2 linked regions of the Caenorhabditis elegans genome follow. The protein of the gene in region 1 purifies or fractionates together with the protein of each later gene. This does not show direct contact. Each region holds a gene or a part of one and is shown on either strand. Other genes may lie near its edges.

Region 1 (11,786 bases):
TGGGTTATGACAGATGAAGCTAATGCACATTATCACTCAATGATCACTGAATTGTTCGAAGGACATGAATGGATTCAAAATCATTTGGGAAAAAGTGAGTAAAAGTTTTTTTTTTGAATATTGCATAAATTGAATATTTAGGCGCCATTCCACAATCTCATTGGTCAATTGATCCATTCGGTTTATCACCATCAATGCCACATCTTCTAACTTCTGCTAATATAACCAATGCTGTAATTCAAAGGTATGAACATTATTTTTTAAAAATAGTAAAATATTTTCAATTTCCAGAGTTCATTATTCGGTGAAACGTGAGCTTGCTCTGAAAAAGAATCTTGAATTCTACTGGAGACAATTATTTGGATCAACTGGACATCCTGATCTTCGTTCACATATTATGCCTTTCTACTCTTACGATATACCTCATACGTGTGGCCCAGAACCGTCTGTTTGCTGTCAATTCGATTTCCGTAGAATGCCAGAAGGTGGAAAATCATGTGATTGGGGAATCCCTCCACAGAAAATTAACGATGACAATGTGGCTCACAGAGCTGAAATGATTTATGATCAATATAGAAAGAAAAGTCAACTTTTCAAGAATAATGTGATTTTCCAACCACTTGGAGATGATTTCAGGTGAGATTTTATTTCTTAATCTAGAAACTAATAGTGCTCTCTATTTAGGTACGACATTGATTTTGAATGGAATTCACAATATGAAAACTATAAGAAATTGTTCGAATACATGAATTCCAAATCAGAATGGAATGTTCATGCTCAATTCGGAACTCTTTCTGATTATTTCAAGAAGCTTGATACTGCAATTTCTGCGTCTGGCGAGCAACTTCCAACTTTTTCTGGAGATTTCTTCACTTATGCGGACAGAGATGATCATTATTGGAGTGGTAAGCATCAGGACAGAATCCAAAAATTCTTGTTTTCGAAGACGAAAAAAAAAGTTTTTTTTAATTTGAGAAAACGAAAACGAAAAAGGTTTTTCACCAAAAACACGAAAAAAATAAAACTTTGAAAAGTGATTTTGAAAAACTTTAATTTCGAGTGTAATTTTTTGGAAAAATGTAAAATTTAAAGTTTTATTCGTTTTCAATATTCCAGATTTTTTCTCTTTTTTTTTGTTTTTTTTTTTGAAAAAAGCAAACAATTATTTTTTTGGCCAAACACGAAACACAAAATAAACAAAACATTTTGTAAGATTGAAAAGCAATTTTGAAAAACTTAAACATCTATGTATCAAAAGTGTACTCTTTTTATAATTTCAAGTGTAGATTCTAGTTTTTCTGTTTTTCAGTATATCAAAGTTTTTCGCTTTTTTGTTCACTTTATTTTTTTGAAAAAAGCGAGAAATAAATGTATCGCTAAACAACTTCAAAAAAAACGAAAAAAAATAAATAACTAACAAAATTTTTTACCGCTTTACGAATTTTCAGGATACTTCACTTCCCGTCCATTCTATAAACAGCTTGATCGGGTTCTCCAACATTATTTAAGATCAGCTGAAATCGCCTTTACCCTTGCAAATATTGAAGAAGAAGGAATGGTTGAAGCGAAAATTTTTGAGAAGCTTGTGACTGCTCGACGAGCTCTTTCACTTTTCCAACATCACGATGGTGTAACTGGTACGGCAAAAGATCACGTCGTCTTGGATTATGGTCAGAAAATGATTGATGCTTTGAACGCATGTGAGGATATTCTTTCGGAAGCTCTTGTTGTATTGCTGGGAATTGATTCAACGAATAAGATGCAGATGGATGAGCATAGAGTTAATGAAAACCTTCTACCCGAAAAACGTGTCTATAAAATTGGGCAGTGAGTTTTTTAATGTCTCCATTTTCATTGATTAATTGTATTTCTTACAGAAACGTCGTATTGTTCAATACTTTATCTAGAAATCGCAACGAGCCAATTTGTATTCAAGTTGATTCTCTTGACGCTGGTGTCGAAGCTGATCCTCCAATTAAAAAACAACAAGTTTCGCCGGTTATTGCATATGATGAAGAGAAGAAAACGCTTGTTGTCAAAAACGGAATATTCGAAGTAATTTATAAAGGATTATCCTGAAAGTGACCATATAATCATGTCTTTCAGCTTTGCTTCATGTTATCACTTGGACCAATGGAGTCTGTCAGTTTCAGACTTGTGAAAAATACAACAACATCCAAAGTTGAAATAATCACCAATAATGCGGCAGAATTCAAAGAAACAAGTTTTAAATCTTCATCCACTTCTGGAGACTTTACTGTGAAAAACGACAAAGTTGAAGCTGAATTTGATGGAGAAAATGGAATGATTAAAAGAGCTACCAGTCTTGTTGATGATAAACCAATTGATTTGAATTCTCACTTTATTCATTATGGAGCACGGAAGTCAAAGAGAAAGTGTAAGTAATTAGATTTATTATTTGAAGATTATTAGAATATTTAGAACTATTATTAAATCTGAATGTTGTTAGTAATAGTAACGGGCTGATCGAACAGCGCGTTGAGTAGCTCTGAATGGAAGACGAGAGACAGTTGGTCCCTGGTATACTGTAGGAGAAGATCCATAGGATCCCATGGCCAGTGGAATCACCATTGGGTATCCAGAAGTTTCTAAAGATCATTAATGAATTAATAAAAATGAATTGATATCTGTTGACTCACTTGGGTACATTGGATATCCATTGAGTAGTAATGGTTGACCACCTCCCATCATCATATCAGATGCAGCGAAACGAGGCTTATACATGTTAGATCCATACGTATCTGAAGTTTTGAAATTTCCGATTTTATTAGGATAATGTGTGATTTCCACACAAGGTATTAAATCTCACCCATTCCCATCATACTGCTAGAAAGTCCATACGGCATCTGTTGCATTCCTTGCATGTTATGGATACTCTGAATTCCTTGCATTCCCTGTAATCCTTGAAATCCTCCCATAGAACTCATTGATCCCATGGACGACATCATTGGGTTACCCGAACCAGAATAGAATGAACTTCCGCTCATTCCGGGTCTACGAATATAGACTTCATCACGTTCATAAGGATTTCCATATCCTGAACGAGATCCCGAAGATGAGTAGACGTTATAAATAAATGGGTCGGCTGAAATAAGGGATTAAATAATATTTATCATTTTGTACGCATCCTAGTGCAGTTTATGAAACAAAATATTTCAGTAACTCACCTGAAACTGCGGATACAGCTAGAATAACTGCAGCTGCATAGAACATCACCATTCCTGCGTAGAAGCGCGAAATGATACAAATCAGCCGTTGACATGATAAACAAGTGATTGAAATAAGGCGATTTGGGTCAAGAGATGCATCCGTTCTTCACTCCTCTTCACTCTCTCACTTCTCATCCCTTCAAAATCTAGGCTTTTCCTCCAAATCTTTTGTTCGCTTTAAAAATGTTTTTCTTTCAGTCGCAAATGGAAATGAAGACAACCCGGCTGGCGCATACCTGTTCCTTCCCGATGGAGAAGCTAGAGAACTCAAAAAACAATCAAGTGATTGGATATTGGTAAAAGGAGAAGTTGTTCAAAAAGTGTTTGCAACTCCAAACAATGATCTGAAAATATTGCAAACGTACACACTTTATCAAGGGCTTCCATGGATTGATTTGGATAATGAAGTTGATGTACGTTCCAAGGAGAATTTCGAGTTGGCACTGAGATTCAGTTCTTCAGTAAATAGTGGTGATGAGTTTTTCACTGATCTCAATGGAATGCAAATGATAAAAAGGAGACGACAAACTAAATTACCAACACAGGCCAATTTCTATCCCATGTCTGCTGGTGTTTACATTGAAGACGATACTACCAGAATGTCAATTCATTCGGCACAGGCTCTCGGAGTTAGCAGTCTCTCGTCGGGACAAATTGAAATAATGCTTGATCGACGACTTAGTTCAGATGACAACAGAGGTCTTCAGCAAGGAGTTAGAGACAACAAACGAACAGTTGCACATTTCCGTATTGTTATTGAGCCGATGTCTTCATCGAGTGGTAATAAGAAGGAAGAACGAGTTGGATTCCATTCACATGTTGGTCATCTCGCTACGTGGTCTCTTCATTATCCTCTTGTCAAAATGATTGGAGATGCAACACCAAAATCTATTTCTTCGAAAAATGTGGAACAAGAGCTGAACTGTGACCTGCATCTAGTGACATTTAGGTGTTAAAAAATCTGAAATCTACAGTAACCCTCATCTTTAATCATTTTCAGAACACTGGCATCGCCGACAACTTACGAAGCCAACGAAAGATCTACGGCAGCTGAGAAGAAAGCAGCGATGGTGATGCATAGAGTTGTTCCAGACTGTAGATCCAGGCTTACCCTCCCAGACACGTCATGCTTAGCTACTGGATTAGAAATTGAGCCACTCAAATTGATCTCGACACTGAAGTCTGCGAAAAAAACGTCACTAACCAATCTTTATGAAGGAAACAAGGCTGAACAATTCCGACTCCAACCAAACGATATTTCCAGTATTCTTGTATCATTTTAATTTTATAATTGCTTATATGTAGTAGTTATATTTTCAGTTTTCATTACATTTCATGGGTATTTATTTATTAACTATAATCTTGTATAAGACGATGTAATTATGAAACAACGATTTCACACTTCCGGTTTTCATGTAAAATTTTTTTCGTTCCAAATAAATTGTTATAAAATTAATTACATCTTTCATCAAACTTCAAAAATGAAATTGCATTTTTAATAATTAGGAGTCTATTACGGAATTCATTAAATTTCAGAAAACAAAGTTAACTATATATTTCTCTAGTAGTTCCTTTCCCAGGAGACCCTTCCAAGATTTGTATCCACATGTTACCATAGTAACCACTCATTGCTTCTCGCTCACATTGTCTGCTCCCTCTCTTGGGGCTTATATCTCTTTCAAGCTATTACCTTCATTAGTATACATCTATGCCTCCATTTTCAGACGAAAAGATGACTGTAAGTATTAGATTTTAGTTTTCGCATTTTATTATTTCCATTTTCCAGAACCGGAGTATTGGGAGAAAAGTTCTGATTGATCAATCAAAACAGCAACAAATTAGTTTGATTAGTGGTTTTCGTGGTGTGGCAAGACATTTAAAAAGTGTTCTTACTGTTGAAATGTGAGCTTTTTTGGAATATTTAACATTTTATACATTAAATACATAGTTGAAAGATTTACGATTTATGATGAAAGAATACGATACCCGGTCTCGAAACGAATTAAAATCGGATCCTGCGAAGAAGCAGGTTTCTTGTATTTTTGTTTCTCATTTTCTTATTTTGAATTCTTTGGAATAAATATTCAAATTATACTGAACAAATTAAGCTGCTATTTAAAAAATAAAAAATAAAACGAAAAAAACAAAATATTGGAAACTACAGTACTCCTCGAAGTCGAGCAATCCTTTGCGCGGAATTGTTTTGCTCGCGTCGAGACCTGCTACCGTAATTTTTGCCAAATTTGAATTTCTCTCGCAGATAGATAATAATTTTTAAATTCAGAAACACAGAACCAATTAACTTAAATGGATTAGAAGATGTTCGGATGCTTATCATTCCACAACCAAAGACATCATTTGGAACTGGAGAGGTTTAGGATTTTAAATTTTATTAAATTTCATTTGATTGTCTCAGCCTAATTTTAACACCCAAAAAATTAAAATTTAAGATTGAAGCAATATGGAAGTTTGTGGAAGAAGGTGGTTCATTGATGATCCTTTCTGGTGAAGGTGGTGAGAGACAATCATTAAATGAAATGATTGCAAAATATGGAATTACTGTGAATAAGGGTATGTCTTTATCAAATTAAATGAATTACAAAAATCATCAACATTCAAGATTCGGTAATTCGTACTGTATTCCTGAAATATTTTGATCCGAAAGAAGCTTTAGTAGCAAATGGAGTCATAAATCGAGCAATTGCAGTGGCTGCAAAAAAGAATGTGAGCACTGAGCAAAAACATAATTCACAGTGAGTTGAACTATTAGCTTTTTATTTATTTAGGACAAAATTCGGTTTCCGATTTTCCAAAAATAAAAAAGTGATTTCAATATTTCAGAGCACTTTCATTCATTTATCCATATGGATGTACTCTAGATGTGAATAATCGTATGTCGAATGTAGTATTGTCTTCTGGAAGTACAAGTTTTCCAACAAGTCGCCCAGTTGCCGCTTTTCATGAGACAAAACTCAATGAAATGGTATTAGAATATTCTGAAATTGGTACATTAATTCATATTATTTTCAGAAAAAGAAAGGTAGAGTGTGTGTGGTTGGATCAGTCTCGATGTTTCATGACACATACATCGATAAGGAAGAAAATGGAAAGATTTTTGTAAGTGTATTTTTGATATGGTTCGAAATAAACTTCCCCGGTTGGTTGAGGCGTGCAGGATGCGCCTCCCACCCGCCTCTTAACTCGCCTTATTGGAAAATTTCAATTTCAGGATACATTTGTGGAATTCCTGGTCAATGGTCTTGAACTGAACACGATAGATGCTGCAGAGCCGGAAATTAATGATTACACAAATATTCCAGATCATATTCATATGTCCCAGCAGATCAAGGTTTGACTTCAAAAAATTATACTTTCTAGACAAACTAACAAACAGGTTTGTATGTACGAAGGAGAATTGGATCAGGCAATCAGTTCGGATTTCATGAAGATTATGGATACTTCGTTGCATTCTTTTAATTTGAAACATTGGCCAATGACTATAAGGTACTGTGCCCTAAATACTTTCCCCTGACTACAGAAATATGTTTGTTATTACTAAGAAAAAGATTCAAGAATCATGCTTTCGAAAATGGAAACACGGTTTTACCCAATCACCAACTTTGCGATGTTTTCCTGAAAATACGGTAGCTGGTCTCGACACGATCAAATTATTTACGAATAAAGTACGGAAAAGAGCGTGCGACTTTAACAACTACCGTAGTACCTCACTCTGTTTTCTAATAGTCAAAAGAGAATAATGAGTAGTGTCACACTACAGTACTGTTTAAATTTTTAGCATTTAAAGGCGCAAGTTTCCGCGTCCTTCTTTTGAAATTATTTCGATATTTGGAAAGAATATTAGAATGAAGTTTACAATAAGTTTTAGTGTAAAACATCATTTCTACTTGAATAAACATTTTTATTCTAGATTGTATGAAGCATTGAATCTTTCACCTCCACCACTTACCCTTGTTGAACCTCAATTTGAACTTCCAATGCCTCCATTTCAACCTGCAGTATTTCCACCAACATTTCAAGAATTACCAATGCCTCCTCTTGAATTATTTGATCTTGATGAACAGTTCAGCTCTCCGGAAATTCAACTTTCTCAGCTCGCAAATAGAAGTAAGAGTTTTTATTCAGAAAAAATAATAAATGGAATAGTTTCAGGCGAGGAAGAAGATCTCATATTCTTTATTGAAAAAGCTGGTGAAATTACTGGAATATCTGCTGAATTGACAAGAAGTGAACGAACCCCCAAGAAAATAATTGAGTTGGCAGTGAGCAAACTCATGTTATTCAAACGTTCAATGATGGATGGAGAGTTGGAAGTTGCATCAGCGTTCGATATTGGAGAGCATGATGCTCATCATCAAAGTTTTAATCAAGGCGAAGAGATGGACGAGCAGCTGTTCTCTGATATTGATGAGTTCGATGATTTGTGATTGATTTGTCTGGAGATAAGATAATAAAATATTCATGTTGAAAAAAAAACGTTTTGGATTTTAGTGGGCACAATTGAAACGATGAAAAATGACCCGATACGGAGAAGAAAATGGTTAAATGATTGGGATATCTAACAAGAAAACGGTAAGAAATTGGATGATTAAAGAATACACTGAATACCGGGTAACTTCAGGCGGTGGATGGGCGGGGCGTGATGAGGAGGAAGAATGTATGAACTGGGATGGTGATTAGATTTCAGTTTTTCATGACTATTCTTTTAGAGTTTAGAAAGCCTATGTATCAACTATAGGGTAAAACTAATTGAAATCTTAAAGTTTACTTAAATTTCTTAACGTAGACGTAATAACCAAGACCGGCAACTCCAGCAACTGCAGCTGCAGCAGCCACATTTCTGACGACGTCTGGATTATTGTGAATCCACGTGGCCAAATCGCTGGGTTCGCGTCCTTCTGGAACTTGCTTCGACTCTTCGACAACTGTGGCTTTTGTTGATGGAGCTTGGTGTGCAGAAGCTGGTGGAACAAACGATGGTTCATGTTCTGATTCTAAAACAGTTGGATCATTCTGCTCCTCTTCAACTTGGGCCTGTAAAACATTTGAATGGATGTACATGTCTTCGGTTTATATATTAGAAAACTTACAGATATGATAGGAATGGCTGCAGCAATTCCAGCGACTGCTGGAGAAGTATCAGCTAACTTGGCAGCTTCTTCCTTGTCAACTTTCTCGAAATCTCCCGGATCCGAATCGAGACTCTGACGAGTTGTGAGTGGAATCAATTTTGGTTCATCGTGCCCTTCTCCGTTTCCTTCGTCAGCACCATTATTCGAATCCAAATCAGTAGCGGCCAAGCTAACTGGTGGGCTTGGCTCTTTCACATAATGGGAGAGATCTTCAGCTGGAGTTGGTGCCTGAAACAAAAATCTATAAATTAGAGAAAATATCGTCCACTTAAAAATATACTCTTGAAAAGGTTACAAGACAATTTGCAAATTCGGACAATGGCCATTTTTAAGTGTAGCCTTATCGAAAAGATAATCATGATTTTCTGTTGGATTTTTGTGAGACAAAATTAAAAAAATTATAAATATCCAAAACGTCACACGACCGCGATTAAAAAAAAAACATTCCTATATTGGTTTCATTTTAAATTTTGATGGTGAAAACAAAAAACTCACTCTCGGTTCTTCCTGCTCCTCATGATCATCATTTTTTGGAATATCGATATCTTCTTGTCCGTAATTCTTTTCTACGACCAAATCCTTCGGTGACACTTCTCTTTCTTCGGACATGTTGACTGCGTCACCCGTCTGAAATTATATATTTTTAAAAGTTTATTACAAATATTCATTAAAATTTTCCAGTAAACTGTAATTTTCAAAAAAGGAACCTTTGGTGTTCTATTAATAGATCGAATAGAGAATGGTCTACGACGTTGAACGACAGGTGAGGAATCAGAAGATTCAGAATCCGACATAGTACAAGTAAAGTGAAAGGAGTCACGGAATAACTGGTGGAAGAGAGGACGGAATAGAGATACTAGCAGGTGAGATTGATGTGTTGTTCGTATTGATATCCTACGCTGCCTATGCTACTGCGGAAAAATCGGATGAAAAAAGAAGAAGATAATAGAAAAAAGAGCAACAGTAGGGCAGAAGTAGAGAAAAAACAAAAAAATATATGGGCTAGTAGGAAACGAAATATGAGAAGAACGCGTGATGACGCTAGGATGGACGTGATAGATAAGTGATATTTTTTGAAGAGAGCGTAACGATAACTTTAAAAAAGTTTGTGAAATAAGGATTCTGTTTGACGGAATTTCTAGAAGCAAATTGAAATTCTGAAACTGAAATTTCTGATACTGTTTAACTCGAAAGAAGCTGCAGGTTTTATGTACAAAAAACTTAAGCCTATCAATAATTTCAAAAACTTATCGACATTTAATTCCACAATATTGGCGAATAATAAAGTAACGATAGAATAACAATTTTGAACATTTTAATGGTACTGCAAAACATCAAAGTTGAATTCTTTTTAAATTTTAAATAAAATAAAAACACTTTTATTTTTGTTGACAAAAAACCAAGACCTGATCAGAAATTATTTTAAAGAGATCGATTCGAACAAATGTCGATGGTTGGCCGTACTGCTACCACTTTCGACCTTTCATCACGCGCCTATTTCTTCCAAAACATTGCGCTTTTCCCAATCAGTAAACAAATCGTCAACGAACCAGAGATAAATGTTTTTTTTCTTTCAAATTGATAAGAATTCTATTCATGATCACTGGGAAAACATCGAGGGAAAACTATGGAATCTATGATCTACGAGGGAACAAATTCATTGAGAGAAATAGAGAAGAAGCAAAAAGGAATTTAGAATGAAAAGAAAGAATAGGAGACAATAGACATATGGACGAAGCTGCCAATGTTGTCTCGCGCTTATTCACGTGAAACTTGGCGGAATAAGAGAAAGAGTGGCAGAAACCAATAGAAATTAACCGGATTCGATGAGAGTGCAGCTCACCGGGAGGAGGAACAGCAAAATGAAGTGAAAATGAAGAGAAAGCGGGTTCATAGCACCTGGCCGGGAAAATCTCGAGCTGCAGAAAGTTTGAAAAGGAGGGAGGAACACAGGAAAAACTATATATCTTTGAAAAATGAGAGATTTTGAGCGGGCAAAAACGGATAGGATAGAGGTTTCAAATGTTCTTTGTAATTTTGTTTCAAAATTTCAAGCGCCTCGAAAACATTTGATCTACTCTACTCAAAACAATATTATACAAGTCTAGTTATTTGTTTGTAGCAATTATTTTGCATGTCTGTTGAAAGTTTATCAAATTCTAGCTGTATTCTGGTGTTTAGTATTATTTCAAAATTAACATCTAAGGAATTGAAGACATGAGACATATGGGAAAGTGTGCGCATTTTTGTGATAAACATAGAACGCAGAACGAAAGAGAGTAAAACATGGGCGGTGGTTAGAATGGCTCTAACTGTCTGCGTTCAATGTTATGAAGATCTCTTCGTAGAGTTTCAGAAAGAATGAGTAAAAAAGTAAAACAAAAGGATGAAGCCGTGAGCCCATTCTATGATTGATTCAGAGGACACATGGGCGGTATAATGTAAAGAGAAAGAAAGAGAACAAAGTACACTCAGTCAAATGACGGCTGCAGCCGGACAGAAAAGAACACTGAGGTGTAGGAAAGAGACGAAGAGTATACAAATTGTTGACAGAAATCCAATGAAAAAACTAGTGCTGAGGTAACTGAACTGTTCGTTTCGAGCGGCAGTGGAATGACTTTATCAGTGATTGGAAATGTCATATGGCTTTGTTCGTTGCGAAACGACATGTGGTAAATGACTTGAAGACAACGACGAACTATAGACTATGACGATTTTTCTAAAGGTGAAGATTTTGGGATTTGAAATAAAAATTAGAAAATGAAGCAGAAAATAGAGAAAAACTAACAATGTAGAAGTTTTTCGAAAAAAAAATGTTTAAACAAATGTACACTAAATATTTTGAAATTTCAGAGAATATTTCTAAATACTCAATTAGATAATTACTAAAAAAAATTTCGGCACCTTTGAAATAAGCAATTACTGGATATATTAATGAAACAACTCTGAAGGTTATGTAACCACATAAATTATTTTTGAAGACATTTAACTTTTGAAAGACTTACCACCATTGGCGTTGATTCTCTATCATTTTCTTTGAATATAACATCTATTTTCTGACAATCTTTGAAGCGATGAATCTGATCAATTGATTCGACTAAATCGTTTTCCGGTAATGTGAATATCATATCGACTTTCTTTCCTTTGCAAGCCTTTTCGATTGTCGTTTTCAGTCGTTCAACGTCTGAACCGCCGGGAAGGGTAACTCGTTTGTATGTTTCTTTTCCTTTTTCCACGCTGAAATAATAAAAAAAATATCATTACTTTTCTGAGAGTGTAACTTTACAAACCTGGTCCTGACAAGCAAAAATCGTGTTTTATTGAATGAATCTCGTCTTCCGTAAGAGTAAGTTGGAGAATTGAGTGGACCTGGAGATCCTGAACCATTTGAAACAGAAGAAGCTGG
Region 2 (11,365 bases), on another chromosome or scaffold:
ATGAAGTGACGTGAAATTGGATGGTGATGGGAATGAATTGATTCACCCGGACTCCATACTTGATTTTAAATTCAAGAGTCTTCTAGTGTTTACAATCGGGTTGCAGCGGTTGCTCCGAGAGCACTGAAAATGAGATGGTTACCCACACCAGCACCATCACAAAAAGGAGAACAACAAGATGACAAAAAAGCTCGTCAGACAAAAATATTGGACATAGCATCACATTGGATTTTTTTCTTTTGGTGGTAACTATTCTAGAAAGGGTTGTTTTAAGATTCATCTATATGTGACAACAATCAAGAAAACTCGAAGATCGCAGTTTAGAAACATGGGCTCATCTTTGCTTAAACCAAGCTGGGGAGATGACTGAGCCAAAATTTTGTTGACAAAAATTATCGCTTATAAAACTCGAACGGAAAATTTAAATAGATTTTAGAAAAAAAAGAGTAAAGAAAACCCTAGTGTTCGTTATCAAATGTTACTTTTGCTAATACACCGAATATCCCTTTTTAGTTTTTAAATCAGAAGATTGAAATTGTATATATTTTTGAGAAAACTCAATTATTGCTGCTGATTCTTACATCGACAACATTAAAGTACAAACGATTGAAATACAATCAAAATTTTATCGCAAGCTCGTAGACAAATAGTTTTTCCAAATTACTATAGGTGAAGAGGGAGTTTTTACCACTTTTTGATTGAACATAAAATACTTTTAAATAACTTTCTGAGGTTTTACTATGTATTTGGTCATTACTTACAAGTAGTTTTTTTTAGATATTTAAACTTTCTTCTGCTAAACCTTGCCAATAAAAGTTCGAAAACTTTTATTCAAATTTTTTTGACGAAAAACGAAAACAAGCATAGAAAATAAAAACTGGAGACAGAAAAATATGAGAAGGTTCTGGTGTGAAAGGCAATTTGAAGAATTCAAGTGCAGCTGTAAATTCGAAAATTTTTCAAAAATTTTCTCAGAATGTCAGTTCAAATGACTATTATTATCGCGGAGCACAATTATACCCGAGAGTGTTTGTAGAATGAAGACGGAAATTTTAACATGACTTGGTGGGGTGTTGGCACGTTTTTTGCAAAGAGATATATGCGAAATTCGTTGGCTTGTTTATCAAATGATGCACAAGCGAATTGTCACATAAGATGTCATATGTTAGAGCTGACCAGCTGTTTGTGAACAGAACATAGAGTGAAAAAGAGCTTTCGAGAATGAGGACAAGTTGCCGGAATAAAGAAAAGAAGAGAACGTCATCAGAGCAAAATCTTGGTAGCAAGAAACGAAAAAGAAAGGAAAAAAGGCGTTATGACCATTGATGAAATTCAATAGCCATTACCCGTGGGTTTTGTGGACCCCGTCTTTTTTGCAGGATCTCATGTACGCGGCCAACACCTAACACCATATGCCACGTGACAACACGTACCTTTCTGGACTTCTTTACCAATGTAGAGGGCGTTGGCCAACGAGTAAGCCATTTGAGCTTCCTCTGTTTTGTTGCCAATCTCAATGGCCAGGTTGTAAGCTAGTCTGAAAAAAAAACATGCTGATTCAGATGTACAAAAAGATAACTCACTTATAATGCTGAATAGCCAGCGGCATGTTCGACTTCAACGCGTGACAATTTGCGATATTGGCGTGAGCGCGACGCATCGACGCTCGGTCTCCGTATTGTTGAGATAATTCAAGTCTCTGGAAAGAATGATTCACGAATTAGGTGTTGTTCACATGATTGTTTATTCAGGGTGTGAATGAGTCGCAAAACGTCTTTGACTTTTCTGACGTGAGTCTCAAGACCTGCTTGGACTTATTTCAAAGTAGAGAAACAAAAAATGAAAAGAAAGACAAGAGGTTTGTCAAAAGTTTCTCAAATTAAAAATTCAATCTGGCAAGAAGTAAAAGGAAGTGAATGCTCAAAACCCAACGTTCTATGATATATGTCCAGTTCTTTTTTCTTAGGTTTCTGTGTTCCTCAAATTTCATTATTCGAATAAAAAACAACATTTTCGCAGTCCTGATTGGCTTCATGTTTTTCTTTAGAAAAAAACAGGGACCGGGAAGTTCAGAGTATAACTGAATGATTTACAAATTCAAGGTCACACGCCCGTAGCAACTGAAATTTGAACTTTGTTGTTTGGTTGAAAAATGGAGAAAATTTTTTTTGAGAAAATTGGACGTCTAGCTTTCCTATTCACCTGACAAAAACAAACAGCGTTTTCTGTCTGTAATGTGATCGGAAATGAGCATTAGGTTTCGGAAACTCGATAATCACGTGGTGAAAGTAAAAAACTCCTAAGCTTGAAACTTGGAAAACGAGATTGGCCTTAAAAGGTAAAATAGAAATAAAAATATCCTCATAAACTTTTGATCTACGCGTTGAAGGCAAAAAAAAAACTAGATTTCCGGTTTGAACCACAAACCACGCGACATTGCATCATCACATCCGTTCCGAAAAAGGGTTCTTACGTATTTTCAATAAAAACTCACAAGTTTATGAAAGTGGATAGATTGGTCATAGTCTCCAAGGCAATAATAAGTATTTCCTAAGCTGCCGTAGCATCGCCCCATCGTCAGCGCATCTTCCGATTTTTCCGACATCTCCAGATTTAGCCTGCAAATTTTAAAATCTTTATTAGGAAGATTGAAGTAATGAACTCACATAAAGTACTTGGCAGCATTCTCAAAATCCGAAGTGGCTTCTGCATTTTTGGCGTCATTTTTCTCTTCAGCAGCTTCCAGTTTTGTGCATCGCCCTCGCTCCACATAAATCGTCGCAATGTTGTAATAAGCTCGAGATTTGAGAACCTGAATTTTTTAAATGGAAAGTGTAAATTATCTGAATGCAATTAGGAGTTTCATTCTTGAATAATTGCGTTGTGCCTTATTTTGAAAAGCTGAAATATTTCATAGCAATATTCACAGCTGCTTCTAACAAGTTTCTAGGCAAGCATTCTGGAATCTTTTGGAATATACATTTTTATTTGAAAACATCTGAAACTTTTTCACCCAACTCGATCGAGAAATGTTTCAAGCTTCCAGAATGTTTGCATACCTGTAAACTTTCCGAAAACCACTAGAAGTTCGCAAAAATCAACATTGGATGCAATTTCACAGCTCTATTAAATATTGATCCTTTTCAGATGGTTTTTATGGTAGTTCAACGTGCTCTTCTGCCGCTAAATTTTTTGTGGTAACCTAGTTTGCAGGTCCCCTTTCAAATGACATAGATTTCATTCAGAAGTCTCATTGTAGGCTGAAATACTTTCCTTGTAACTATGGTTTATGTTGGAAACTTCGAAGAAAATTTAAGATGGAACTTTGTACATGTTTGCTAGCACGAAAATAATAAATCTCCTGTTGGTATAGCAACGGGTGCATTTTTTTTTCAAGTACAAAATCAAGTTCTACTCACTCTATCGCCCAACTCTTCGGCAAAATCCAGCTGTTTGAATGTGAAGGTGAGCGCGTCGTTGTAAGCGCCTTTCATCTTGAATATATTTCCCAAGTTGGCACACGACTTTGCTTCTCCCTCCTTGTTTCCAAGCAATCTGAAATTTTGTTTATTTTTTGTTTAAATTTCTTTCGCATTCGTTACCTTTCAACAAGAATGTCATACGTATGGAACTTGAGAGCTTGCTCATAATCTTTAAGCATTGTGTGTGCATTTCCGAGCTGACAATAGATAGCCGAGAGTAATGAAAAATCATCTGTGCCTACTTCCAACGCTTTTTTCAACAAGTCGATGCCTGAAATATTCAAATTCAATCAATTATTTACAAATAATAATAAAAAAGAAGTTACCTTTCTCATACTTTTGCATGCGAAAAAGACGTTCCCCTTCCTGTGTGAGCTTGTAGCAGGAACGGTCCTGCATCGCACCTTTCCCCGCTGCAAAAAAAAAATCGATTGATATTCTTCGATGACAAAGATTTCAGAAATCTGCACAATACTAGAAAAAAGGAGAGAAACACAAGCGATTAAGATTGAGAAAGAAGAATCGAAATGTGGTCTTTCAGAACAGAAAGGGTGGTCAATGTAGAAAAAAAGGTATTTGAATGATTTATTCGAACGAGTACGGACCAACAAACTCCTCTGTTTGTTCGTTGCACGGCCGCTCTCAGTACATGGAAAGAAACGTCCTTGCTATGTCTGCGGCAGCTCTCTCGTTCACTCCTCACGACAGATGAGCTAGTAACCGCGCGTTGACGTCATTTGTGTAAAGACGGCTAGGAAGTATTGTTTCGAGCAAAATATTTGTTAATTTAAAATGACAAAGGAATATAAACTGATAGTCTTAAAAGATACATTACTCAAAAAAAAACTCTCATATGAAAAATATAAATTATTACCTTAGAGTATCAAAAGTTCACATTTAATTACCACTCACTCAAAACAAATCTCTAACCACAGTTAATTACCAACAAACTGATTCAACTTGTTCAACTTCTGTTCCCTTTTCAATACTACTTGAAACATTTCACACTCACATAGCAAAGAGCCCAGCAACAACATATATTTACGTCGTGTTGCCCTGGTAACCGGGAGCGCTGCTCGACGAGCTCGCGTTTATTGTCATCACTAACGGTGTATCCTTAAGATGTCGAACGATATTCAAGGGTTTATTCTCCACTTTTTGAATGAAGAGCCGTTCAATCTCAACTTATCATCACTTCAATTCGACCAATTACCACCGCAGCAGTTGCTCCAAATTTTGAGTAATGTTTTGAGGTTGGTTAAGTCAAAAAAAGAAATTTAAAAAATGCGATATCGAGAAAAAACAGTTATGGTGTTTAAAATATTCACAAAAATTTTCCAGAAACGTGTGCTACATTTTTTGTGACAATTAAAAAACAGCTACTTTATTATTATTGTATCGTTATTTTTTCAAGAATTTTTCAAAGAAATATAAATAAATTTTTTTAATTTCTAAAAATAGCTTTACCTTTAATTGTACTTTTGGATGTTGCTCAAAAAAAGGCACAAAGTTACAATGTGCGTGTTAAATTTGCTGGTTGGCAAACTGATACTAATGTCAGTTTTTGAGCAATCTTCTTAAACTTTCTATTGAAAGTAATTATTTTATAGATTGCTGTGTAAATTTAAAAAAAATTTGACACAACAATAAAGAAAAGGGGTATCAGCAGGTCCACTTGGGTAGAATGTTCAAAAAATTCGGTTCTTTCTTATTTGTTTGCAAAATTTCAAAAGTCATAAAAAAATTAAGAAAAATTTGAATAAATTTTTTACAAACACATAAATGCTCTCACTGATAAAATTGAATTTAATAATATAAGAACAACGAAAATTTTTAAAATGTTCAGCTGGGTTTCCGACACGGACCGAATTGATATCAAAAGAGAGGCTGCTGAAGAGACTGCAATTCGTATTCTGAATATGCTCCGAATTCTCCGCTACAGACCACCGCAAGACCAGGATGAACAGTTCGTGCAAAACGAGGGCAATCACTAAACAGCATCTAATTTGACATTATATTACAGGGAAGAATGGCGTGCAGGGATTGTCGAAGGTCGCAAGACTAGCCTCTATCCTCTTCTGGTTTTTCTTTTTGAAAACTCAGAAGGTTTGAAAGAGCGCGCATATTTGTCAAAATATTTGATGAAGGTAATGAATTGCTATGCCAAAAGCCGACATGTTATGCTAGTGGTTTCTGGGGGGAGAGAAATAGATGTTGTCATTATTTTTTTTAAAAGAAAAATGATACATAGAGAACAAGCATCGTTCTGCTTGAATAGCTGATATAGTAGGCAAGACAGCCGAAGTTTTTGGTTTAGTTAGTCTCTGATCTAGGTACACATTGAATTAATGAATCAAGAAATGGCTAAACAGCTTCGCACTTTTTTGTAATTGGAAATACGTAAATTAATTATTTTCAGACAGATGTACCTGGAGAATTCTTCGATTATGATATTGAAGAGCTGCAAAATGAGATTGGAGAGTTGACAATGGAGTTTAAGGTTAATCACATGAGAGATTAGTCGTCACGATAGTGGATGAGCAAAAAAAAAGCAAAAACAAAAAAAAACAAAACAACTTTTCTACAGGAAATCCATGCTGAAATGAAAGGAATAATGGCAGACGTACTCTTGCTTGATGACATAAAAGAGGATTTAAAGTCAATGGAAAAAGAAAAACAAATTTTGCTCCGAAAGATTGAGAAGACCGAGAAGAAAGTGCAGAATATACCATATTTTGATAAGTAAGTTCAAATAATGTGAAAACTTCAAAAAAAAATTGTTCAAAAATAACAGGAAAATGTAGTCAAAATTTAATTAATTACTTGTTTTATGCGAAAAAAAGGAAAATTCGTTTAACAATAGAAAACTAATAAAAGTTTTCACTGACAAGTGAATTTGCTATCTGAATTCATCGTGTTAGAAAACCTCAGAAAAACTGAAAAAGCCCGGCAAATGAGCTCAGATTTTTTTCTTTATTTTTTTTGATTTTTTTTTGAAATTTGTATTTTGCCTGATTTTACATATTTCAAAACATTGAAGGTAAAAAAACAGCTCACTTGAAACTTTAGAGCTGTAAACTTTATAAGCTGATAAGATGGATATTTCCGATCATTCTTGTTAGTTTCTAACACATTTACATTGCTAATATATTTTTAAAGCAATTTTTGAGCAAAGCTTTTGGCCTGTATCGGTATTGCTTTTAAGCTCTGGTTTGACTCATTGTCAAAAAAATTGAATATAAGGCTCATATTTTTACTACAAGTACGATAAAGTCTGCTTCAATCATAATTAAGTAGAAAACAATAAATTTACAAGCTTTTTGCTAAATAACGAGCGCTATGCAAGTGCAGATAGAAATTTGCGGAAAATTGTCCGTTTTTCATATAAACGTAAGTAAGGGAGTTCTTTAGCGTAAATTATAAAAATAAAAAATAAAATAAAATGAATTTAGTATAAAAATAAAACATAAATTTTGGCATTTTTCAAAATAGCCAATCGTTTTCAGACAAATGCAACTTGCATTACAATTACGCGGAGAGAAAACCCGATATGCAGATTTTGCAATTGAAAAACAACAAGAACGGCAGAAGGTTGGTTCTTTGGGAATTCCATTTTTTTATCTCAAAATCAAAAATAGACCGAGTGAAATATTTTCCTTTTTCTTTATCTCCGACGTAATTTTTTTTTGCTCTCCTGACAAAAAATGAAAGAAGAAGTACAGAAATAGCGAGTGCAATTTTTTTGTTCTCGAGTGTGCGGCTTCTTCCTTCTTACTGCGTTTTTTTGGCGCAGCGAGCATCAAAAATCAGAAATTCTTTTCTGTTTAGGTCCTGAACATCGAAGCCAGAATCAACCGAATGAAAATCAATTTGACGGAGGCTCAAGCGGTCGCTGACACATTGGATGAACAGGCGTTAATGGAAAAATTAGAGGTTACTAGACTTATTTTTCTCGTCTTCTCCTATCTAATGACGACAGAGGGTTTCTTAGGACGAAGTTGCGACGAACACTTACTTAGTGAATGGCAAGTTGTTTCAAGAAATTGAATCAAAGGAAAACAAGTTGAAAGAGCTGACAGCCATGGCAAGGTCCAATTCAGTGCGGGAAGAGGATGTCAGTAGAATGAATTCTGAGGTAAGCTTAAAGATACCAGGCTTAAAGATCTCTGCAGATTTAACTTTGGGGAATTTTATGATAAATGTGCAGCCGACAGTATATATGCAACACTGACCTCACGTTTTAATTAAATTACCATTAAAAAAGGAATTAATGCTATTGGAGCACGGCTACTACACAGATACGTTGCCCGAAATACAAAATTTCGAAAGCAAGTTGTTAGCGAAAATTAAAAGTTTTAGCGGGAACTTCAAATTTTCTGGGAAAAAAATTTGGCGAAAAATTTAAGTATTCCGAAAAATTTTTTCGCGGAAATTAAAATTTTCTCGGGAATTTTTTTCTGTGGGATTTTCAAATTTTCTAGGAAAACAAACTTGGCAATAAAGTTTTTCTGAAAAAAATTTTGATAGGAAATTCAAATTTTTTGTAAACAAAAATTAGCGGGAATAAAAACTACATTGATGTTAAAAAACTGCTAGAATGATTTTGCTATTTTTGAAAATGTATACCAAATTTAACAAAAAAAAACATCCAAAATAAAATTGTCGCCCAGCTTAAACGTGGCTGCACTTTTCACTTATTTCCAAGGTGATTACAAAATTAAATGATGTAATTACAGAAAAAAGTTGTATGTTTTAAGAGTTAAAAGCTATTCAAAAGCTTTTTTCAAACGTGGGCAAAAACAAATAACAGAGCCAAAGAGCGAAACAATGGCTTCAGACGTCAGAGAGACGAAAAAATTTTCCAATTTTCGTCTGACCAAAAATATGTTAATTGTTTACTCCCAAGTCATCTTAAACATGGCTGATCAAAGCATGAAAGAGTTATTTTTAAATTCATCATTCAGATAGAGGAAATGTCAAAACGAATTCGAAAACTAGAAGACGAACGGGATCACAAAGAAGTGGATATTGATGAGAACATGAGGTAAGTGCATGCTCATTTTGGTCTAGATGTTTTAAAATTGTGCTTGCTGAAAATTTCAAATTTGTTGTTGTGTTCTTTGTGCAAAAAATATGAAATCTGGTCTGGTTGCTAATGAACAAGGAAAGGCAAATCTAAAAGCGGACAGTGGCATCACTCGGTTTAAAAACATGTGGATGATGATGGTTGCTGCTAAGAGACACAATCTGCGTATTCTTCTATGAGTGTTAGATATTTATTTAGAAAAGAAAATGAATTTGTAAGGGATGCTTCGACAAAAAACTTTAAATTTTTTTATCATTATTAAAAATAATGAAAGTAGTGTATCTTTATTGCGGATTTCGTCTTAAGACACATAATTAACATGACCGAATATGAGCATAATACTCTCAAAACTAAAAAAAAGATTTTTAAAAATTTTCTGAATTATAACTAAAATTTGAAAACTGTGGAACAAATTTTTGTTGACTTTCATTATTAGGACGGAGTTTTTACCATTTTTTGACTGCTCGGAAAATTGTCCTTTTTAGAATACTTCCACTATGATATTTGGTAATTTTAAATTTATTTGGGTAATGTTTAAACAAATACCCACTGACGGTAATCCCTCTTTAATACGCTCAATATAGATCCAAGGTATTTAACTTCCTAGTTTTTTGTCACTTGTTTTTTTTTAACTCGGCATTTCTAGAGCATTTCAAGCAAAACCAGGTGATGAACTTAAAACTTGTGAAATTGCGTTTATCGTATTTTTCCTATACGTAAAACATTAGAATATCTTTTTTTATATTTTCCCAAAACTGACCTTTTTTCAAAAAAACATATGAGGTGTTTTCAGTGTGTTTCGTCATCAAACTTCCCTTCTCGAACGCAAAAAAGAAACAGCGGTGCAGAAATTGCAAGAATTGAGGTAAGTGAGTGTAGATGGGCTTCTTCTCTTTTCGGCTTTTTTTTTCCAAAACGTCCTATTTATTCCACTGGGAGTAGGAAATTGAAAATGGGAAAAAGCGAGAAAAGTGATGGGATTTCAACATTTGATTGACCCCATTTCTCAATTTCCTCAAAAAAAAGATTAGCGAAACCACTTTATTCTTAGAAAGTTTGCAAAAAACTGCAAGAGTTGAGGAAATTAGAAGCTACCGTATTTGCGACCAAATGGACGTGACTTTCAGGCAAGAACTTGCGAAAATTGAGAAAGATGTCGATGAGCGTAAAACCAATCTCAAAGACAAAGTGGGCGGGGAAGTTGTGTCAAATGTTCAGGTGAGGCGAAATAATTTGTAACAGTATAATACTATTTTTTCAGTACCGAAAATATTTAGAGCAATACCGTGTGAAAAGTGAAGAACAAAAAAAGAAAAGGAAGGAAATTGAGTTGATGCATACCGAGGTGGCAGTGCTTAAAAGAACAATTGACATTGTTTCCAAAAGATACAATAAATTGGAAACGCACATTGTGAGTTGCGTGATTGTTGAGTTGAATGTTGAATAGAAAAAAAAACGCGAAACGGCAAAAATATATTTTGGAATTCTTGAAGTTTTTAGTGATCTTTTTCCAGATAGCTGTTTAATAATGAAAAAAAAACTATTTGTGCATTATCAACATCAAACTTTTAAATGTATCAGATACCTCTGCTAACATATGGCAGTTTATGTAATCTCTCACTGAATTATAATAGCAAAATTTCATTCAAATGTATTTGTAGTTACGGCAATCGCTGTTTGATATTACCCAATTGTCGATTGCCAAGCATTTTTTGATTAAAAATGCTGATTGTCAAAAATTAGAATTGCCGAAACTGTGATGATTTTCTACAGTGCTGCGTATGGTAACATATTTACAAACGCTTAACGATACTGATAGAAATAATCACCATTTTTAATTTATTAAATACGTTAACTGCATAAAATTTGAACTTATAATTTTAATTACTTTCCTATACCTCCTGGAATCAGAGAACAAATTCGACCAAGCTCCGCGAATCATTTTTTTCACCATTGTTGCAGAGAGAATAAACAGTAATTCACTTTTTTGCAAACTACTTCCAGCAAGATCAAGTGGTAGGATCAAAGCAGAAAAAACGTGTGTCATATGTATTTACTCACACCTTTTTCTAAACTACTTTGCTACACGAAATTGACACACCTCTCCTATTTCAACAGACAAAACATGTAACAGTTTAATATCATATTTCAAAGTTTACTAATCCAAATTATTTTTATCCTGCGTTCCCGATTTTGCAAGATTTCTGTGGTTTATGTGTCTATCTAATCTTATTTCCAGGAAAGTATTGGCGGAGAAATAGTAGAAGTTTTGAATGTTCCAACGAAATACGATCGTCCGAAAACTGCAGCTCCGCAAACAAATAATGCAGAGGTAAGATAGGGGGGTTTTTTTTTGAAGAAACTGACTAAACTCTTGGTTCAACTTTAATCCAAAAATGTCTCTAAGGTACTATTTTTATTTTTTATGTAATTGACTGAGACATCAAAGTTTTCAAAGTGAGTTTGGAGAATAAGAGAACATGCAAAAGTTTAGATTCAAAAGAAAAAGTCGAACGATAGTTGTAAAGTTTCAAAATTTGAATTAAGGACATAAAATCGGATATGAAAGACATGATGGCTGCACTGGATGAACGAAAAGATAAGATAACAGATCAACGGACAAAGAGAGACGAGGTGAAGTATGTTGTGCAGGTAAGTGACAACTTAATTGACAGATTCTGATTGATCGAGAAATTCAGCAAAAAATGAGCCAGCTGGCTACAATCAAAATGGAAGCAGACCAATTTATGGCTGAACTGGAGCGTGATAATAAGAGATTGGTTGAGGTACGGACTTG

Evidence for each region.
Region 2: the proteins of osm-6 (region 1) and ift-81 purify together in Caenorhabditis elegans (affinity purification with mass spectrometry, with the first as the bait; one study listed by BioGRID). This does not show direct contact.

Annotation. Positions count from the first base shown.
Region 1 is NC_003283.11:11,920,559-11,932,344, reverse strand, and holds osm-6 (Intraflagellar transport protein 52 C-terminal domain-containing protein), read left to right. Parts: upstream 1-4,898; 5' UTR 4,899-4,938; coding exon 4,939-4,968; intron 4,969-5,016; coding exon 5,017-5,132; intron 5,133-5,514; coding exon 5,515-5,602; intron 5,603-5,680; coding exon 5,681-5,801; intron 5,802-5,850; coding exon 5,851-5,983; intron 5,984-6,071; coding exon 6,072-6,213; intron 6,214-6,260; coding exon 6,261-6,347; intron 6,348-6,459; coding exon 6,460-6,579; intron 6,580-6,624; coding exon 6,625-6,734; intron 6,735-7,158; coding exon 7,159-7,355; intron 7,356-7,400; coding exon 7,401-7,675; 3' UTR 7,676-7,724; downstream 7,725-11,786. Other genes in the region: F58H1.2 (uncharacterized protein), read right to left, coding at 2,467-2,609, 2,661-2,762, 2,831-3,106, 3,189-3,240; aman-2 (Alpha-mannosidase), read left to right, coding at 1-94, 142-244, 292-636, 685-905, 1,449-1,827, 1,878-2,055, 2,107-2,398, 3,429-4,179 and 1 more; R31.2 (ANK_REP_REGION domain-containing protein), read right to left, coding at 8,013-8,282, 8,339-8,608, 8,876-9,007, 11,386-11,617, 11,671-11,786.
Region 2 is NC_003284.9:5,294,146-5,305,510, forward strand, and holds the start of ift-81 (Intraflagellar transport protein 81 homolog), read left to right. Parts: upstream 1-4,415; 5' UTR 4,416-4,486; intron 4,487-4,519; 5' UTR 4,520-4,550; intron 4,551-4,581; 5' UTR 4,582-4,604; coding exon 4,605-4,735; intron 4,736-5,328; coding exon 5,329-5,448; intron 5,449-5,505; coding exon 5,506-5,629; intron 5,630-5,901; coding exon 5,902-5,982; intron 5,983-6,069; coding exon 6,070-6,224; intron 6,225-6,988; coding exon 6,989-7,073; intron 7,074-7,310; coding exon 7,311-7,415; intron 7,416-7,473; coding exon 7,474-7,617; intron 7,618-7,624; exon of another isoform or gene 7,625-7,645; intron 7,646-8,446; coding exon 8,447-8,526; intron 8,527-9,328; exon of another isoform or gene 9,329-9,361; coding exon 9,362-9,433; exon of another isoform or gene 9,434-9,455; intron 9,456-9,695; coding exon 9,696-9,786; intron 9,787-9,829; coding exon 9,830-9,979; intron 9,980-10,807; coding exon 10,808-10,900; intron 10,901-11,115; coding exon 11,116-11,220; intron 11,221-11,267; coding exon 11,268-11,354; intron 11,355-11,365. Other genes in the region: ags-3 (Tetratricopeptide repeat protein 28), read right to left, coding at 1,434-1,537, 1,584-1,699, 2,495-2,618, 2,667-2,812, 3,420-3,555, 3,603-3,753, 3,809-3,881.